Saccharomyces cerevisiae S288C: one gene and its partner. The protein of the gene in region 1 interacts with the protein of each later gene in a pairwise test. Each region holds a gene or a part of one and is shown on either strand. Other genes may lie near its edges.

The links.
Region 2: the proteins of COS3 (region 1) and THI72 interact in a protein complementation assay, tested with the Saccharomyces cerevisiae proteins (one large-scale study listed by BioGRID).

The regions. Positions count from the first base shown.
Region 1 is NC_001145.3:5,644-9,194, forward strand, and holds COS3 (Cos3p), read left to right. Parts: upstream 1-1,600; coding exon 1,601-2,740; downstream 2,741-3,551.
Region 2 is NC_001147.6:698,585-702,521, forward strand, and holds THI72 (thiamine transporter), read right to left. Parts: upstream 1,984-3,937; coding exon 184-1,983; downstream 1-183. UniProt on the Saccharomyces cerevisiae protein: Low affinity thiamine transporter responsible for intake of thiamine. It is possible that the primary function is the uptake of closely related compounds and that thiamine transport is a secondary activity of these proteins.

The DNA of each region.
Region 1 (3,551 bases):
ACCCTCCATTACCCTACCTCCCCACTCGTTACCCTGTCTCATTCAACCATACCACTCCCAACCACCATCCATCATCTCTCTACTTACCACTAACCACCGTCCACCATAACCGTTACCCTCCAATTACCCATATCCAACTCCACTACCACTTACCCTACTATTACCCTACCATCCACCATGTCCTACTCACTGTACTGTTGTTCTACCCTCCATATTGAAACGTTAACAAATGATCGTAAATAATACATACATACTTACCCTACCACTCTATACCACCACTACCACCACCGCCACTTGCCACACTCACCTTCACTTCTACTGATATGTCATACGCACACGGATGCTACAGTATATACCATCTCAAACTTACCCTACTTTCATATTCCACACCATGGCCCCATTCTCACTAAATCAGTACCAAATGCACTCACATCATTATTCACGGCACTTGCCTCAGCGGTCTATACCCTGTGCCATTTACGCATAACTCCCACGATTATCCACATTTTAATATCTATATCTCATTCGGCGGCCCCAAGTATTGTATAACAGCTCTTAATACATACGTTATACCACTTTTACACCGTATACTAACCACTCAATTTATATACACTTATGCCAATATTACAAAAAAATCACCACTAAAATCACCTAAACATAAAAATATTCTATCCTTCAACCATAATACATAAACACACTTAATTGCGTCTTAATACTATCATGGTATCATTAACTTAAAGTTCCTTAATATCGTCATACCACTATGCTCTATTCCATATATTGTAATATAACTGTACTCTATAGTCATACAGACGCTTTTACTTCACCCCATCTTATACTATTGTCATAGAATCTCACACTGACGCATGATTAAAACGAATAATTTTTACTGTAAGGGCTGCCATCCGCGCTCTATCCTTTTGTTTGCAATATTTATATACAGAATCTCAAAACAAGCGGGAGAAGTGCTAATTACCCAGAGGTCATGCATGATCTGAGTACCACCGTACCTCTAGGTTTTGCTTTGATCCGTTTTACAGTGACACCGAACATAAGGGGAAGCTATTGACATGGTATCGAAAGGTTGTCCACATTGGGAAGTAACTTGGTTCTATGAATCTTCATGTCAGATACGTAGGACAGACTCTTTCCTGTGTAAATATTTGTGACAGCTACGTCTATTTTCTACTAGATGTTTACACAGTTTTGTCACAGGAAATCTACGCTTAAAATATGTATTTCATTCAAGCGGTAACCGCTGTACGAGCAGTGACATTGCTGGTCGCACCCTAAATGTGAACCAACGTTACGGCACACCGTGATGTACCCGCATTAAAGTTTTGTAAATTCGTTATTACGATTATCGAGTTGGCTAGATAGAAAACCGGAAATGTAATGGATGCCCTTTTCGAATAGCTGAGTTTCTTTGCCTAAAATAGCCCAATATTGTTGCCCTTTTTCTATCACGAGGTTACTGAGCCATTGCATGAACGCGCGCGCCTCGGCGGCTTTTTTTTTCTGCTGTGCTGTATAAAAGCGAAAAGCCAGAAGTTACTATCTCGAATAAAAAACCCCTCGAACTGCCATCTCACTACCGAAAATGAAAGAGAATGAACTTAAAAATGAGAAGAGTGTAGATGTATTATCCTTCAAACAGCTCGAATCCCAAAAGATTGTTCTACCTCAAGATCTTTTCAGAAGCAGCTTTACCTGGTTTTGTTATGAAATTTACAAGTCCTTAGCGTTTCGCATCTGGATGCTATTATGGCTACCACTTAGCGTCTGGTGGAAACTTTCCAACAATTGTATTTACCCACTTATAGTTTCACTTCTGGTCCTGTTTCTGGGACCAATATTTGTCCTTGTTATTTGTGGACTTTCTCGTAAGCGTTCCTTATCGAAACAACTCATTCAGTTTTGCAAAGAGATTACTGAAAACACACCAAGTTCTGATCCTCATGATTGGGAAGTTGTTGCAGCAAATCTAAATTCGTACTTATATGAAAATAACGTTTGGAATACTAAGTACTTTTTTTTCAATGCCATGGTCTGTCAAGAAGCGTTCAGAACAACCCTTCTCGAACCATTTTCTTTGAAAAAAGATAAAGCTGCCAAGGTTAAGTCATTTAAGGATTCCGTCCCTTACATTGAAGAAGCATTGGGAGTTTATTTTACAGAAGTTGAAAAACAATGGAAATTGTTTAATACTGAAAAATCATGGAGCCCTGTTGGCCTGGAAGATGCTAAACTTCCCAAGGAAGCTTACCGATTTAAGCTTACTTGGTTTTTAAAGAGGATTTCCAATATTTTTATGTTGATACCATTCCTTAATTTTTTGTGCTGCATATATGTGTCACGGGGAATGTGCCTTCTATTACGCACCTTGTATCTCGGGTGGATTCTTTTCATGTTGGTACAAGGTTTCCAAAATATAAGGGTTTTGATTATGAGCATGGAACACAAGATGCAGTTCTTGTCGACTATTATAAATGAGCAAGAAAGTGGTGCGAATGGATGGGACGAAATTGCAAGGAAAATGAATAGGTACTTGTTTGAGAAAAAAGCCTGGAAGAATGAAGAGTTTTTCTTCGACGGGATTGACTGTGAATGGTTTTTTAACCACTTCTTCTACCGCGTTCTATCTGCGAAGAAATCTATGTGGCCTTTACCATTGAATGTGGAACTATGGCCATACATTAAAGAAGCGCAATTATCCCGCAGTGAGGTGCTCTTAGTGTAGAGATAAATACAACTTTTTCAATTTATATATTTTGTAGTTTGTCAGCTGCGAATAACCAAAACGAGACTACTTTTTACAATTATTTTACTGTATTGATTACAATCCAGCAGTTTCAAACGAGGCTTCTGTTGTTAATCAGACAATATGTTGAAAACTTTATGAAATTCTGTATTGCAAACCCCAACAAACGTACCGCCGCTATTCAAAGTTCCAATTACATTATGAGTTTTATGGTCTCATTTTGCCACATTGTAAAAATATTTTTTACAGTTCCCACTAGTAATGGATTCCCTCTAAGACAGTACACTGCTGTTCTTGTCACAAATCCAGCTTTATAATAACGTACTAGAAGATATCATGACTATAGATGTACTTCTTAAAAATCAATACGTAGAAATATTTAGACAAACCATCTGAAAGCGTTTGTCGAGTTATGAGAGCTTTGTTTTAAAGAATCATTGAGGCATTTTATATTAAATTTGCAGTCCCAGGTAGAGCTTTATAGGAAAATGCGAATCCAAAAATTTGTTCACTCTAGAGGGTCTAAGCATGGACACAAGATGGTATCGTCGCTGGAAAGTTTAATGATGTCGTGAGCACGCCTTTTTAAACATATTTTTATGATTTAAAGTGTATCTATCCTTTCCTACAATGTCCCCGCGCCTCACTTAATCCGAAGGTATTACAGTACACTTGTTATCATACGAAAACTTTTGAATCTTCTCATATACCTACTGAACTTACTATAAGAAAAAATCAACTTTTAAATTATTGCTTTAAGATACGCGAGAGAGAAACAGAGTTCGAGTGT
Region 2 (3,937 bases), on another chromosome or scaffold:
GTCAATCAAACATTAGTGGAAGAATGAAATAATCGAAATGACCTCTATATCCTGTACGACCAACAAGCTTAATAGTAGTGTTTCCTGGGACTAAAGAGTGTGTTTAATTATCTCGAATTTTAATACTAGCGAAAGATCTTGAATGAACACTAAGTATGATCATTTTATTAGGTTTTTTGCTCATTAGGCAATTTGTTTTTCACTGGAAGTAGAGGATTCCTTTTCATTATCTTTCTGATGAACAATTTCAAACACTTTTGTGTTTTCTGAACTAGTTTTTGTCAACTCAGGTAGTTCATCATCGGAGCTCTCAGGTTTGTATTCGTGTCCACTTGTGAAGCATTCGCCTAATGTGTAAGCACGGATTTCTTCTTCAGAAATTTCACTGTATGGAACCATGCCCTTCTTCCTTGCTTCTTCGTCGGTAAACGCACCGTAGTAATCTTTGTCATCATGTTTGACAGTAATTTTGAATGGGAAGAGGAGGCATAGTCCCCAATAGACGAAAAAGGAAATCAAAAAGGAGAAGAAAGAATCACCATAGAAAAAATTTATAATACCAGTGTTGTGGAAATAGTCATTATTGACTTCCCAAGCGATACCAGGTAGACCGGGAGCCATACCACACACCCAGGCAACGATAGCTCTCCAGTTGACACCCTTGGTAAAATAGTATTCACCCTTTAGAACAAAGGCATTGGTAACGGAGTATTGTCTCTTCCTGATGAGGAAATTATCACAGATCATGACAGTGATAATAGGTGTCATTACGACACCGAAAGAGCTCATAACAGTCAAGAAAGTAGAAGAAGAGTTGTAAAAGTTCCATGGCAAACAGGCCCAGGAGACGCATGCGGCAAAAATAGCACCTCTCTTAATATCAACATATTTCGGTAATAAACCAGCCAAATCCATACCACTGGCAAACCCACAGTTGGAGATGGTATATGAAATTTGAGACATTACAAAACAAAAACCACAGAAGAATGTAGCTGCACGCGCGCCTGCAGAATAGTTAGTTGTCAACCAGTTGTCAAAGATGTCCATAGGCATCCAAAATGTTTGACCGTATAATTTTTCACAAGCAGAAGCACCAATGATACCGAATACTGGGATCAAGGTTGCTGGTATTAGTAAAGCAACTATAGTACCAGTCCAGATAGCGCAATTAGAGGAACCAAATCTGGAGAAGTCACTTTGATTGGTACAGCCTGGAGAAACAGAACCGTACCAGTACGAGATCGTATAAACCCAAGCCCAAGCCTTTTTAGAGCCAGTAACTGTGGAATGAGTAGAAGTGAACAAGTCACCAACACCATGTGCGCTCTTAGTTAAGTAAATTACCATACCCAACATGGCGAAGAAAGTACCAACACACGACCAAATTAAAATATAGTTCATATGGTATGGCTTCATAAAGTAACAGAACGCGGTAAGGATATGGAAGATAATGAAGCCGATCAATTCCTTGGTGGTCATGGCAACTTTCGAGGACAAAGTATTGGGCAGATGCAAATAGTGGTGAGACCAAGAATCTAATATCATGTTTACACAAAGCCCACCTAACCAAGCGTTGGAACCATAATAGACAATACTCATCAATATTCTGATAATGATACCAAGAGCTGAACCGTAAATCCCAAAGACGAATCTTTGAGCTAGAGTGAAGCCGACCTTCCAGTCATAGCCAGGACAAGAGTTGGCTAAAGCAAACAGGATGGTCAACAAATCAGCAATAATAAACGCACCGATGGTCTCTGAGTAACTTAACCCAACAGTTAATGCAGACGAACCGCCTATCCACATACCAACGTTGAAGGACAGAACACCCCAATACGCAAAATTAGACCAAAACCCCCACGTTTGATTAACAGACTTGATAGGTTGCAAATCAGGGTTCCTTAAAAAATTCACGGAGGCCCTATTTTTAACAGGAATTTCCAAAAATCTCAAAGCCCTGGAGATTCTCGTACCGAAACTCATAATGGTGTAATGCTAGAGTTTTTTTTGCTTGATAGTATATCAGATATGAGAGCAATAGATGATGATACAAGTTCTACAGTGGAAAATAACATGGTACACGCTCTTGGCAACATTGAAATTACAGCTCTCATATATAAAAAATGGAAAGAAAAAAGAGAAGAAAAAAGAGAAGAAATGAATTCTATTATGATAGCGAATGCAAAATATTCGTCCACATTCTTTTATCTATTGTCTTCCTTCTTTCTGTGCAACTACCAGAAAAAGCTATTTCATCTAGTCGAGTAGACTAATTAATGAATTATCTCGTCTTCCATATAAATTAATAAGGCAACCAGCAGGAGACGCCTATTGTTAAGCGTATTACGAAACCTGCGGATCTGTGCGCTATTGTTATGCCAGTGAAGGAGCCTGTCATCATGCACTCATGTGCCCGCGCGCGCGCTTCTGTGACTACAACTTATTGTAGGGCGTAGTACACTGACGCCTAGCGCTCAAAATACACATATGCAGTGTGGCCGACTATGCGATGAAGCGGAACAGTCTATCTTATGTGAATGGTTGCAAAATGCCGTTATATGGATACTACGGTGCGAACACGTATTTATAATAGGATAATCTTGTATCTATTCGTTTTATGCTACTAGTTCTAACCTTTAGGAAGTGTCCTTCACAATATCAGCCCTACATGCAGTGGTCTTCGTAAATCCTGTGAGGTTTTGTCTCATTTCTCTATGCTGGAAGGGCTTCGTAGAAGATTCCGCAAAATAATGGAATTGAAGCCCTGCGCCAAGCAAGCCTCACGAGGATCGTCGGTTCTGAGACGTAACCACGCTCTTGAATCTTGTTTATGTGATCAGCAATGACGTCTTCGGTGGTAATACCATTTCATTCCGGAAAAGATGAGTTTGTAGTCGGTTAGGGAGTACCGTGGCGTCCTTTCCTATTTCTGCAAATTTGCTGTCCATGTTGGCAACTACTCTCAAAGGTGGCAACTGCTTAGTAAATAGCCATATCGCTCAGAGATACATATCAAGAAACTCTAGCCAGATGATCACGAATCCCGAAGCGATGTAATTTTCCGTGAGGCAGTCCTGAATCAGGCCGTAGATTGACTATTAGCATCTCTTTTTGAGTATGCTAAGAAGTAGAGGGCTACCTTATTCCCACACACTTTTTACCACGGGCGAAACATTTATTTTCAAGTCCCAGCACAGTGATGGGATGAAGTCCAGGATGCGTCATACGGTCCTATGGCAAACTTCGGGGAAGGTTTAATATGCTGCTTTCAAGCAGGATTAACGGTAATCAACTCCCTAGGCAAATTGGCTCAACTCTGCCTATCTATCCACTGAGGATTTCAAATCCACCGAATGGGAGAATATGTCAGTGTCCATTTTGGAGTAAGGTATGAGTTCTTTTTTCGTCAGCTTTTCTTCTATATCTTACAATTGCTTATCTTAAACCACCGATATTTTTGCAGTCCCTTCATCATCGAGCACAATGGCCTATACGTTGAAATTTTGGTTTTGGTTTGAAGCCCACTCATCTTGGCATCGCTGACGTGTTTTCTTCCAAGATTTAAAGAGGACTACTCGGTGCAGGTGGACATCTCGAATGAATATGTTACCTAGCTTGATCTCCTCCATCAAATTACAACCTTTTTGCAGTGAATTTTGATACATGGATTTCGGAGCTTAAACACGTATTAACTGAAATTCAGGCATGGCGAGAAAATTCCCATCAGAACTTGAAGAATACTCTAAATACTACTGAGATAAACCGAGAGGTGACGTGAAATTCTTCCCAGATGTTCAATATATTATGAAAAACCATCCAGCTGAATTACCTCATTTGCAGATCAATTTCAAAGGCTTCGGTTCGGGGATAATGAGACATTCTGTCCAAAATGTCCCATTTATTACAGCCTCGGAATTAAGGTGCTTGATACTGTTCT